Linked DNA regions of Drosophila melanogaster. The protein of the gene in region 2 interacts with the protein of the main gene of each other region in a pairwise test. Each region holds a gene or a part of one and is shown on either strand. Other genes may lie near its edges.

Region 1 (9,382 bases), on a different chromosome or scaffold from region 2:
CAGTTATCGATATGATCTACTTTTCTCTGCTCCAATCAGCTGTTATGTTATGCCGCGAACTCCTTCAACAAAAATGTTGGCCGCCCGCAGATTACTACGATCACCGCGGATTACCGGTGCCCTAAGCTGGTCCCGCTGGAGCAGCGATGCCGCGAAGGCCACAACAGAAACCTCCGCCCTTTTGCAGAACGCGGAGAAGCGGCAGCAACTGCTCAACGAGCTTTCTGAGCCGCTGGAACAGAAAGGCCGGCCCGCCATCGATCCCAAGGAAACAAGTGTGATGCTCTTTCCCGGTCAGGGCACCCAGTACGTGGGCATGGCCAAAGACCTGCTCCGGTTCCCGGGCGCCCGTCGCATCTTCGAGCTGGCCAACGAGGTGCTGAAATACGATCTGCTCAAGATCTGCCTGGAGGGACCACGTGAGAAACTGAATCGCACGGAGCACGCTCAGCTGGCTGTGATGGTATCCTCGCTGGCAGCACTGGAGCAGTTGCGTGAGGAGCGACCCAAGGCCATTGAAACGTGTGTAGCTGCCGCAGGCTTTAGTTTGGGCGAGATTACCGCATTGGTGTACGCGGATGCCCTGCCTTTCGACAAGGCATTGCGATTGGTGCAGGTGCGGGCCACCGCCATGCAGGCGGCATGTGACCAGGCAGCCGGAGCCATGGCGATGACTCTCTACGGACCGGATACCAATCTGGGAGAGGCCTGCGCTCGTGCGCAGCAATGGTGTCTGGACAAAGGAGTGGAGTCGCCCTACTGTGGCATCGCCAACTACATGTATCCGCACTGCAAGGTAGTGGCCGGCAACGTAGAGGCCCTGGAGTTCCTGGAACAAAATGCCAAGTCCTTCAAAATCCGGCGGATGAAGAGATTGGCTGTCAGTGGCGCCTTTCACACTCCTCTAATGCAAAGCGCCGTGGAGCCATTTACCAAAGCCCTGAAAACGGTGCGACTTCAGGACCCCGTCATTAGAGTGTACTCCAATGTGGATGGCAAACCCTATCGCCATGCCAAGCACATCCTAACGCAGCTGCCCAAGCAAATCGTGAGGCCCGTCAAGTGGGAGCAGACTCTCCACGAGATGTACGAGCGCAAGCAGGGCGTCGACTTTCCACGCACCTTCGAATGCGGTCCTGGCAAGGGCCTGGTCCAGGTCCTGGAAAAAGTAAATGCCAAGGCCGCTCAATCCAGCTTTAATGTTATAGCCTAATCTTGTATAAAAATTCAGTTCGCTTTTATAAAAATGTATATTTTCTGGGCTAAAGGAAACAAAAAACTGGGAAGTTATGACCGTTGGCAGATCCTAACTCTTGTCGTCTCGCGATCGCATCCGGTGCGCGAAGGCAGCTCCTTTGTTCTTCCGAAAGCTCTCGAAGGGATCGTGCATATTAGCGCCCACTCCCTGTGGATAGAAAATTATAAGTTGTCCTTTCTTGCGCACTCTTGCCACTTCACCTTGTACATCTCTCGACGATCGCGCACCTCGCCTCCCGAAATGGGCGTGTCGATGCCTTGATTCTTTGAGCCCAGTCCAGTTCCCGTGCCCGCCCAACCCATTTTCATGAGCATTTGGTGGCCCTTGTTCGATTCCTCGATGAAATCCGCTGGCTTGGCAAATGTGCTTCCCCTGGAAAAACAAAGATAGCTCATTGGTCCGACTGTCATGAAATTGTACTATAGCCATGATTTACAGAAAGCTCGGAGGTGTTAGAGATCTGTCGCGGTCCACTCGTCTTAGGTTGGTGCTGTTGCCATTGTCTCGGCTATTGGAATTGCCACGATCACCACGGCCCTCTCTGGTATTTGTGCTGCCGCTGTTGTTGTCCCGTTCGTGGCGAGGAGATCGATTGCGACCCTTGCGGTTGTTACCACCGCCCAACCTGCTCCGATTCATCGGTGGCGGCGTTAAAGAGCGCTCCATGGATCGCGAGCGGGATCGGGAGCGAGACAACGATCTATCTCGATGGGGCGGCGTTTTTGAGCGGGAGCGACTGCGACTCTTGGATCTGCGCAAGAAAATAAGTGCAAATATTTCTAGTTTTTGTGTGAAAATTTTTGATGGAAAACCAACACTCACCGATAAACTCGCTTGTTGCTCTTTTTGGGTAGGGGTTTCTCGAGCACAATCGGACTTGGCGACCGCGACTTTTCTCGAATGCCGTCCTTGATTTCCTCTTCTTTTTGCTTTCGCGCCGCATTCTTCACCTTATAGTACTCATAGAGACCAAGCTTCTCCCAACCCTCACTGCAAGATAAGCCCATTTATAAGGAACGCTCAATAACATCAAATTGAAATACTTACTTATCCCTTGGACGATCGTGTGAGGGTGCGGAATAGAAGGCGTTCAATGCATTTGTTAATCGCTCGCTTTGTGGCGCTGGAGCTGGCAGTCGAATGTCCGCCGGATCGAGGGCTTTGTAGTTGTAATCCTCCAGACGAATGAGCGGCACCATGAGGCCCGCTGGCAGGTCGTAGTAAGGCGCTGTGGGTATTTGTGGCTCTCCGATCACAACAGGTTCTCCAGATTCTCCGTCGACCAATTTCTGTGGTTGCTGGCCATCTTCCAATGTTCCGTCTTCGGGTTTGTTGGTTATAACCGCGCGAATGGCTGCATTGAGCACATCCAGATCCACTTCGCTGCTATCAGCATTTTGCTGGCCAGGTCTAACAATATTCTGGGGATAGGCAGCCATTGGCGGCGGCTGCTTTTGCTGCTGCGGTTGTTGCTGCTGCTGCTGCTGCAGTTGGTGCTGTCCTTGTTGCTGAGGGTCGTCAGGATGGTGTTGCTGCTGCATCTGTAAGCACGCCTGAATCGCTGCACTGAGAACGCCAAGATCAACAGGTGGTTCATTGCCAGAACCCGGCGCCTGCATGGGCGGAAACTGTCCCGGTTGTGGCTGCTGCTGGCCCATTGCTGGGCCCTGATTATGATGCATGGGTCCGGGGAAGCCTGGTGGTGGTTTGGACATGTCCGGAATGAAGAAGTTCGGTCCGCGTGGATCCGCAAAGTGATTCCCCGGTGGTGGCTGCTGCTGTTGGAAGTTACCACCTGGATACATATTATTTCCCGCCTGCGGATGCTGCTGATCATGCGGCCCCTGGCTATTCATGTGCTCATGGTCACCCGGCATTGCTATTCGGTGGGACATCAGCGATGGTATGTTCTTCTGCTGATGCTGAAGCATGTGTTGCTGCTGGGACTTCTGGGCCACAATCTGCTGCTCCAGGTGCTGCGCCTGTTTCTCCAGCTGCACAATTTGCTGGCTAGCATGTTGGATAAATACATGATGCTGTTTCTGATAGCTGAAGCATAAGAGTTATGGTTTATTATGTGCTCTATTATGTTCTTGGACTTTTATACTTACTTATCCAAAGTCGCCTTGGTATTCTGCGTGAATTTAGCAGTTATATCATGATGTGTGTTCTGCAGATTGGTTTTGTACTCCTGCATTGACGAGTCCGGTGACTGAAGCTTCGAGATGACGCAGGCATCGAAGAACTTCGCCTTGGACTCCCACAGAGACAGCAGCTTGGCTAGCTTCTGGCGCTGGTCGGGGTTGCCAACTGTGGGCGAGGATAACACTATTAGAAATCCGTAAAGGAATGGATCGAAGTGGAAATACATACTCAAGTCGGCGCTGCAGAACATCGGAATGACGACGTTCTCGAGGCTGTTCTTCAAGTCATTGATGTTCTTGCGCATGCTGTAAATATATCGTTGGACTTAGGTCTCATCTCCTAGCTACTCTAAATGTCAAGGTATGATGTCCGAAGTCCGGTGGTCGGTCAGGTTCAGTCCAATTCTGTCAGCGTAGTCGTCCGCAGAAACTAACCCACAAAGTAGTCTTACTGCTCAGTGGGTTAGTTATTGAGGTCTATGGCCCTTAAATACTATACTATACTAATAATTGACTGGGCGAACTTACCAGTGATGGAGTATATCATTAACTAAATATATAAGATGCAATTTTTGCTGAAACGTTGAACCATTGACCAAAGCCCTAAAAATAAATTAACAAACGAAAAACATATTTTTCTAGTTCTCTGTATGCACAACAACATTGCCAAAAGTACTTGTTGTGCAAGTATAATGATTTTTGTTAGTAAATCTTCTTTCTTTTTGGTATTTGTGTTTTTTTTTTTGGTTTTTTTTTTTTGTCCGATGATTATCACTGTTAAGTGTTGGTGTGTTGTTGTGCGTGTTTATGGTTAAGCTTATTAAGTAAAATGATTTGTTTGGGTGTGTGGCCCTAGCTAAAAGACTTCCGGATCTGGGGACTACTCATATATGATCATAACATCTCTCGAAAACGAATCAACGAATCAATCTCGAGCCTCTCTGTGGAAGTCTCAATCGCACAATCGCTCAATCGATCATCTCTCACTTGTTTGTTCGATATTTCGTATTTCGTTTTTCTATGTTTGGTTAGTATTTCACTCGTTGAAAGAAAGAAACACAATTTAATTAATACATATTGCAGGTCATTAGGTATAAAACTGAGGCATACTTCTTTAAAAGATATTGTAAAACGACATTGATTTTTGCGCTGTCGGTTGAATGCTGTAAAATCCAGTTCTTGCCTAAAATTGCAATATCAAACGGGTTACTCATATTGTCATTGTCCATGGCGATTATAAATTAGGTTTAGGATTAATCAAAAAGTAGTATGGATTCATTTAGTGTGCGCTTTGTGTGCAGCAAAGCTGCGGAGCATCAAAAATTCAGCTCCATTAGCTAACTTATGACTGATTACGAGACTACAAACAAGCAATAATGTAATCCAGCCTGTCCGCTGAACTCGTATTTACCTGCAGAGATGCTGTCCTTCGTGCAGGACTCGATGATCGGCTGCAGAACGCCATCGAAGTCCCTCAGCACAATGCCCTGTTCGCCAGCCATCTGTTCCTGCTGCGCCGTCTGCGCCGCCGCAATTGCATCCTCGATCTGCTTGGTCTTCTGATTCATCAGGGCCTACAGGTTGGTTTCGTTTGGTTGATTGGTGCGATTAGGATCGCAAGCGTTGGTGTGGTTCGGATCGGTTCGGTTTGGTCATTAGGCACACAAAGGTTTGTTCGCATGCATATTCGCATTTTGGGATTCATTTGACAAGCGTTTCAAAACAAATTTGATTTTAGGATTTGTTTTTTTTTTGTTTTTATACAGTTTTGTCAGTTGGTATGAAGAGTGGTTTGATTTGGTTTTTTTTTTTTTGGTTTATGTTTCAAAAAATACAATAAAGCAAAAATTTAATGTAGCATTGTAAATTGTTAATTAAATAGTAAAAATAATGACAAATATAGATTGTAGTTTGATATTGCTGAAAGTACACTTTAACTTTATCTTATCCGCACTTGGAGAACAAGAACTGAGTAGATCGATTGAAAAAACATTTGGAAAAGGGTCGAGAGCAGGATTGATTATTCTGAGGAATTCGTGGATTAGTTTCATAAGAAACAATTTCAAGAGGGAAGTCACTTCCATTACAGGGAAATTCAATAGCGACAAGCAATAAGAAATGTCCTTCTTATTAGAAAGAATTTAGTTCACAGTACTTATAGAGTGAAAAGTCCACAAAAGCAGTTCATAATTATTAATATTAAACACCATTTGATGAACTCTTGTTCCAGAGTTGTTATTACAAAAACTAGGGAATACAAAACTGCCATCTATGAGTCTATGACAATATCTTTGGAAATCATTTAAGTCCGAAAGTATATAAGGGTTATACAAGTTATCTTCTCTCTTAAGAAAATAATTAAAAGCATTCTGGCTTAAAATCGAGGTATATTCACATTCGATTGGGTCGTTTAAAAGGGAGGTCAAAAATTCGAAGAAGCAAACACGTTCTTATATTCAGACTATAAAAGCAACTTTTAGGTGGGTATTTAGTTTAAAAAGGAAACCAATTTGCTTCTTTAAATTTTTGCCAGAGGAGGCCAACATTCAACATGAAATCATATTGAAATCTTTTCTTTATACACTCGAGCTGCTCTAATCTTTCGGAAAAAGGCTTGCAAAGGTGGGCATATAGAGGTATCCCAGTTATTTCCAACTTCAAATTACCGTGTGCTGTGCGGAGAGATTCGCTTCGGATTGCTGGATCTGTTCCCGCAGCGACTTCTGCTGCATCTTGATGGCTTCCAGTTGTGACGTTAGATTCATGGCCATGGGATTGCCATTGGCCTGCTGATTGTTTGGCGGCCCACCGTTGCCGGAGTTCGGCGGCCAGGAGTGCTGTGTTTGCTGTTGCATATTGTCTTGTGCGGTTTCGGGCGGGTGCGGTGGCTGCTGATTGGGTGGCGGATAGAGGCCCGGTGGTTGGGATTGCTGCATTGGCGGCGGATGTTGCATGTAGTGGCCGGATGGAGCACCTGGTGGCAGTTGTTGGTTAATGGCCTGTTGCTTTAGCACTGTATTGGGTGTTAAAAGGAGATTATAGGGGTTATTTTCCACCAATTTAGAACGCACTCACGAGCTTGTTCCGCTGCCACCCTGAATTGATAATAGTTGGCGAACTCCCCGCCGTAGAGGAACTCGAACTTTGGATTGTTCTGCTGCTTCTGCTTGGTTATCGCCTCGAATTCCGGCCCATTTCTGGCCACAAACTCCGCCAGTTTGTCGATAATATTTCGTAAACTGGCATCTGCAAATAGAAAGCAAATGGTTTTTGCAAAAAATGTGAGCATATCAAAGGTTGTGCGTGCGCTTGTTTGTTTGTATGTGTACACATGTGCATGCCAATCGACTTGGGCACAAAATTAGCTTGATTTTAAGTTATATTCAGCACTTTTTAATTGCTGCACTTACCGCGTGGCGGTTGCACGTCCATTTTGCGACTGTTATTAGCACTATTATCCTATGTAAAATACTAAATTCATAACTTTTTGCACTTTTTCAGCGGCACTTTTCACTGCTTCTTCTTGTTTTTTCCGACAGTGTGCCCATATCTTTGTATTCTTAGAACGACATGTAGTCAAATACTAGGAGTTACTCTCGGCACTACTTTTTAAGTAGTTTTTAGCGCTTATCATACGCTTTTTTGAGCAAAAAAGCGGCTTAAACCTTTATCGCTGCTCATTTGTTAAATGTATTTATTGCCAGTAGCAGAAGTTCCAATTAGAATGACGGTGGTAGCAGAGCTGCCAACTTGTTCCACGTTATACCGGTCTCTCTTCTATTATTACCACAACGTGGCAACGCCGCGCGTCTATCTCAGTTCTAAGCTGACAAAAATAGTTTATTTGTGGTAAACAAACATTTAGCCAGGGCAATTTGCACCCAACAGAAATCTCCACGCCGGCCCGTGATTAATGCAGCATCCGAGGAGGCATGACAAATCCGCACTTTAAACCGACAACTCCGCGGACAGCGTGGCATTGAATTACACGGGCTCCCTGGAAATATAATCTTGAAATAGCCACTATATAGTGTGTATATGTATATAGACACATCCGCTAGCAGCAGAATGACCGATAATAAGGGGAGCGTTATCACCATTAATGGCGGCGAATCGGCGGGAAACTCGCCGCCCTCGCAGCGGAAGTCCTCGACGTCGGAATCTCCGCCGGAACTCCGTATCCTTTGCTTTGACCTCACCTACTACAATCGCACAACTCAGTTCCTGCTCAGCTGCGCCGGCGTCTTCTTCCTGTACATCCTGTACGGCTATCTGCAGGAGCTGATCTTCACCGTCGAAGGATTCAAACCCTACGGATGGTTCCTCACGCTCGTCCAGTTTGGCTACTACATCGGCTTCGGTTTGGTGGAGCGGCGGCTGGAGGGCTATCGGATAAGCGGCGGTTCCTTTTGGAACATTGAGCCGGAGCCACGTTGCATTCCCATGAGAACATACCTAATTCTGGCTGCTCTCACGCTGGGTACCATGGGTCTGTCCAACTCAAGTCTCGGCTACCTGAACTATCCCACCCAGGTGATTTTCAAGTGCTGCAAGCTCATTCCCGTGCTGGTGGGCAGCATCCTCATACAGGGCAAACGCTACGGACTGCTGGACTTTGCGGCAGCCACCTGCATGTGCATCGGATTGGCCTGGTTCACGCTGGCCGACTCCCAGATGACGCCCAATTTCAATCTGCTTGGTGTGGCCATGATTTCGGGAGCGCTGCTCTGCGACGCAGCCATTGGCAATGTCCAGGAGAAGGCGATGCGGGAATTCAAGGCGCCCAGCAGTGAGGTGGTGTTCTACTCATACGGCTTGGGTTTTGTGTACCTATTTGTGATTATGCTGGTTACCGGCAACTTCTTCAGCGGCTTTGCATTCTGTTTGGAGGTGGGTAACATTTGAGGTTTATGATGTAAGAGATCTAAAGTGTATTATCCATTTAGCATCCCGTTGAGACCTTCGGCTATGGCTTCCTCTTTAGTTTGTCCGGCTATCTGGGCATTCAGTTTGTGCTGGCTCTGGTGAGGAGTAGTGGTGCCCCCATAGCTGCCACAGTGACCACCGCCCGCAAGGCTGTGACTATAGCCTTCTCCTTTGTGCTTTTCAGCAAGCCCTTTACCTTACAGTAAGTACTATTCTGTGTATTTCTAAAGACAAAGCTCTATTATACCTATCCCAAACTTTCAGATATCTGTGGTCGGGCCTCATCGTTGTCCTGGGCATATATCTCAATGTCTACAGCAAGAGGAACAAGCTGACGTTGGCCGACGTCCGGCAGAGAATAAAGCAATTTGGAGCCAAGGTTGCCCGCTCACCGAGTCGCAAATTCCTCATCGAAGTTTAGAACGATACCAAAAACACTCACATTTTAGTTGAATTGGAAGCATGGGTTTTCTATAAGAAAACCATTAAATATAATTACTTAATTACATTCTAAACAAACTATGTGCTATCTGTCCATGTCGAACTCCATTACGCGCTTGAAGAGATCCTGGCGCTCCTTGGCGGAGGTTATCTGACCCATGGTGCGGTCCAGGAACTGTTTTTGGTGCTTGACTATGAACTTGTTGCATTGGATGATGGTGGCACCAATGTACAGCGTCCTAAACTTGGCCCGTACATCTCCGATCTGAAAGAAATGTGGTTTTATAGCTGGTTTAAGGACATGGCAATGAGACCAACCAAAGTAATCAATGGCAATACGCTGGACACGAAGCGTTGGCCTCGATGGAGACAGCGTATGATTGCCATTTTCGTGCGATCGTTGATGTATTTCACTCGAAATCCCTGCTCGATCACGGCGAGGCCATAGACTCCGTAATACTTCTCCACATTCTGAAGCAGGATCTTGGTCAGGCTGTGGTCGTTGAGTCGCAGAGATTGTGTTGGCGTGTAGGGCACAATCTGCACCGCTATATACCTGTTTATGGATGGTTTAATTAATGATCGTTAAGGAAAACGCGGTCAATATTTACCT
Region 2 (4,534 bases):
GGCTTTTAATTACACGTTCGTTGTTTTTATAGCACAAATGAACGGCTCTCAGGGTGTATCGATAACTCGAGTAATGTCTAACAGCATTACCTCCACTCAAAATTGATGTGATTTAGTAACTAAAAAGACGATATAATAATACACATGCTATCCACATAAGTGTACAAGGGTGTAACTTAAGACTCAATTCAAAATTAAACGATTTATAATGCAAGTCATTAAGATCTTTAAGATCTAAACTAGGGCTTATATTGATAGATCTAAAAGGCGACACCTTTGCATCGTCACAAGTGACATACAGAGACATATGTTATGGCATACGGATCAGGTACATATATACAGATATATATATATATAGCATATGGGCAGCTGGCAATCTCGTCTCTCTAGGCTTTTCACATTTCCAGCTGCAAATTGTATTGGATTGGACAGAAATCTTAATTGGGACAAGTACGCCGTCGACCAGACACCGAGTTTTTCTAACGCCCGCCCGCCGGGGGAGGATTACTACTACTACAGATCATCTCGTCTGGTCTGGTCTAGTCCGCAGCTTATGGCAATTTATTGGGGCCGCATCTGTATCGCACTGTATGTATGTACAGTCTGCCTTCGTATAAATGCCTCCGAACCTCAGACTTTAGACCGGAAATGCGACGCGCTTTTCAATTAAAGCCCCGCCAAGATCTTACCATTCAGTTCAGCATTCAGTTCTGAATGAACGATCCCTACGATCTGGATGAGTTTGTTGGTCAATGTGGGAATGCCCCCACAAACTTCCAGAGGGGTTCATGATTTCGGAAATTAGATCAGGGAAAATTTAATTTGATTTAGAACGAAGTTTCGCAATTCTGTACTTATTTCATATTATATTCTATGTAACTAAATGAATGAGTTACTATATTTGTCGTGTCTTGCCGACTTTCACGATCTCAATCTATATAGATATAGATAACCTATTAATACGTCACAAATGCTTATCATATAGACCAACTGCTTCATCATCAAGTTCCAAGTGTTTTATTATATAATGGGTAGAACAAGCGTAGTTAAATGTCAGGCTTCTTTTAACTTTTATCTTTATAGATTCGAGATTATCAACTGTTATCATATATATAACAGAAATATTGTGTCATTTGATTAGAAACGTATTTACAGAACTGGATAAAGCAGATGAGTTACTATCCAATACCATCAACACTGTGGTCCAACTAAAGGGTTATCAGATGGGTTTAGCTGTTGATTTCGTGAAGCTTTGTTTTTGGACTCAGTTTCGGTGTCGATTTCAATTAGAATCTTGCGCAACTCTTGGAGCCGATAAGCGAGTATATTTATAGAGTTAGTTTTACGCCAGCCACTTGATAATGTGGCAGCAAAAAAAAAAAAAAAAAAACAATTGATCGGCCAAAAAACGAATCTTTACTGAACACACATGGGTTTGCCAATTATAATACGTATTCTTCATCGGATGGTTGTCCATTTTGAGGTATTCATTTCGCAGGATGCATGCCGCTGCCCATATACTTGTCGAACAGGAATTCGCCCACCTGGTTTTGTGCCTTCTCCAATTGGCTAATATAGTCGGCCAGAATCTTCTGGCCATCCACTTGCTCCTGCAGGAAATTGGCCTCGATGAAATCGCAGAGATTCGGATCCGCTTCCTTGCCAGCCAGGGCGTGCAAATCGAGCAGATGCTTATTGACCTCCAGTTCCATTTTCATTGCGTGCTTTAGTGCATCCAAGGTGCTGGCGAAACAGGGCAACGGCTGTGGTACACTGCTCAAAATGATTAGACCACCACGCTTGTTCATGTACGTCATGATCTTCTCCGCGTGCTCCCGCTCCTCGACGCTCGCCTTTAGGAAGAATCGATGCATTCCGGGTGAACTGATATCGGAGCGATCGAAATGGTAGGCCTACGTGTATTGAACGTACTATATGCATATATATATATTCCCTATTGACTGCGGAACCTTACCATGGCCAGATACTGGTGGGATGCCTTCAACTCCATGTTGATCTGATCGTTTAGCTTCTTCTCGCAACTTTTGGCGAAGTTCTGACGCACCAGCATGCACATGTGGCGCCGAATGTCGCGGAAGCACCACGCCATGTCTTTTGCTTCTTTTTGAGTTTTTTTCTATCTTTTTTTTTTTTTTTTGTTTTTGAAAATTTAGAAACCTATACAATTTGGAATTGAAAGTCAAAACACAAACAGTGTGTCTAAAAGGCAACTGGGTCGGTTCGGACAGGTGTCGATGGATCGGATACGATCCATCTAAGTTCGTCCATTGATCTCATCTCCAAATATCCAGATCTTCACATCTCCGCATCGATCTCCGATCTCGCGATCTGGAGGAGGTGTTGATCCACCGTTCGGACGGCCAAAAAACAACGGGTTGGAGTTCAAAGTGCTGCCGGCTCTGATTTCACTTAACTTCCACTTAGCAATAGTGTGTACACAATCTCTCACTCGGTTTGTTCGCATCTATATACGTTCGTACGTATAGCTTATAGATACAGATACATATGTATATATGTACATATATAGTTAAATATCTGTGTCCAGATATGTTTGCTTTAACTTCAACAAGTACACACGAACACGGACACACTAAGTAAACGCAGTTATTGTCTTTTATTAAGTGAATGGAAGACGACTTTTGTCCGAGTTTTGTATAATCGTGTTATACCCTTTCTCATAGGGTATTTGAACGCTTTTCCCAAAATATTGCTGATACAGAAAATTGCGACAGCCAATGCAAGTTAAAATAAGAAATTTAATTTATTAAAGGATAGAAAACATAATATTATATTTTGTATTTCAAATGAAATGCTTTCGTAGGCGAGTTCAACGCGTCTTACAGGTTTAGGGTATTGAAAATGTAAAGATCTCCCAAGCCGAGGTTTCCAAACATTTCCTATAAACATCCAGGTGGTCAAAACTACTCGCACTTTACTACAAACATCCACTCATTACGCACATTTAAAAAACCAACAAAGCAATGGTGACTCTTGAAGCCATGTGCGCCCCATAAAAAGGCAATAATAAAGATATAAATGGTTCATTTTCACCGACACACAGGAAAACGAACCGAGAAAAAAAACACATAGGAGTTATGCAAATCATCGTTGAACTGGACAATAACAACCCAAATAAAAAATAGCAAACATTTTTAGATGAGTCTTTACGTTTTTTTTTTTCAAGCATTATGAAACAATTTTCCCTATGATTGTGATTAAATAATATATACACTTATTAAGTGAACGATGACATATGATCTTGTGTGTTTATAGAGGCAATTAACATGTTTAGTTCATTATGCAACAGTCGCAATAAAAATGAAAATTATTATCTTATTCAATATTTAAGGGTCAAATGGAAAGGCTTTTGAACACAGAAAAATTTCTAGAATTTTGTAGAAGATTTTACAGGCATTAAAGTTCTATAATTACTTAAGCATATTGAATTTCAACAAAATCCACATCGGAACTCAGTTAAATTTCAAATTCCACTCCCGTAATGCCAACAAGATTTTAATTTGGACAAGTGTGACAGCTTCAGCGACACATTTACATCACCTCCAAAATAATGGCAACAATCCAGTTTGCAGTGTCATAAAAACGTGCAACAAATTATTAACATTAAATTAAGCTGCGGAGTCACAAAAAAATTTTTATATACATTCGACGTGTTAACACAAAACTCAAACGTCAGCATATGAGGTAAAAAAAAAAAAACAAAATCCAACATAATTTGCTGAACATGAGGTCGAAAATAGCGTACGGCATACGAAAATATTTAATCGATTTGAGCTATTGTCGGCATGATACTCTTTCAAAGAGCATACAAACTTGTTCCAAAAATTAAACTATATATTAAAAAAATATTCAATTGTATGTATATAATTAAGTGTTATAAATGTGTACCATCTTAATTTTGGTATAAATATAAGCTGCTAAAATATCTATTACATCTTAAGGGGTATTCCCGTCTCGACTATTTCAGAATATCACGTATTTCTTTGCGCACATTGTTCAATTCAATAAATTGTGGCTTCGATCGCCGTCGCCAACATACGAATAATTTACAATACATACGAACGGTGTATCAGTTAACATTCATTTACTTTTGCTGCTGGTCATAATTTCCAATGCGTTTATTTATTTAAATTTTAATTTACAAGCACCCGATCGTCTGGAATTTACAGTCAGTCGCAGTGCATGCAAAACTGTGAAATACGATCGTTAAACGGGGAAATGAGTGCGGGAAAATTTGAGAACTTTCCACAAGGCATAAGACTAGTGTAAATAAAATTCAAAGGGTTGGCGGAACAATTCAAATCGAAGTAATATATATGTACATAAAAACTGTTCGAAAATCAATGCAAAATCGAATTGGTCATTTATAGGCATTGTGGAATGGGTCATTGCACTTTAAGCAACATGTGAAACAAATGTTCGGTGCTAATTACAGTGACCGCTTGGAAAGTATAACTTGTTGATTGGGCGGTTTCTAAGGGGAAACTAGAAGTCT

What was found.
Region 1: the proteins of Fer3HCH (region 2) and scaf6 interact in a two-hybrid assay, tested with the Drosophila melanogaster proteins (one large-scale study listed by BioGRID).

Annotation. Positions count from the first base shown.
Region 1 is NT_037436.4:17,035,626-17,045,007, forward strand, and holds scaf6 (SR-related CTD associated factor 6), read right to left. Parts: upstream 6,950-9,382; 5' UTR 6,835-6,949; coding exon 6,813-6,834; intron 6,649-6,812; coding exon 6,478-6,648; intron 6,416-6,477; coding exon 6,069-6,415; coding exon of another isoform or gene 6,060-6,068; exon of another isoform or gene 5,309-6,059; intron 4,977-5,308; coding exon 4,814-4,976; intron 4,586-4,813; coding exon 4,513-4,585; intron 4,006-4,512; coding exon 3,931-4,005; intron 3,709-3,930; coding exon 3,632-3,708; intron 3,569-3,631; coding exon 3,370-3,568; intron 3,308-3,369; coding exon 2,306-3,307; intron 2,249-2,305; coding exon 2,081-2,248; intron 2,010-2,080; coding exon 1,695-2,009; intron 1,631-1,694; coding exon 1,459-1,630; intron 1,406-1,458; coding exon 1,307-1,405; 3' UTR 1,234-1,306; downstream 1-1,233. Other genes in the region: beg (bad egg), read left to right, coding at 74-1,213; Papst2 (PAPS transporter 2), read left to right, coding at 7,441-8,292, 8,349-8,530, 8,593-8,749; POP5 ribonuclease P/MRP subunit, read right to left, coding at 8,855-9,034, 9,088-9,325, 9,381-9,382.
Region 2 is NC_004354.4:13,105,987-13,110,520, forward strand, and holds Fer3HCH (ferritin 3 heavy chain homologue), read right to left. Parts: upstream 2,209-4,534; 5' UTR 2,111-2,208; coding exon 1,976-2,110; intron 1,914-1,975; coding exon 1,488-1,913; 3' UTR 1,396-1,487; downstream 1-1,395.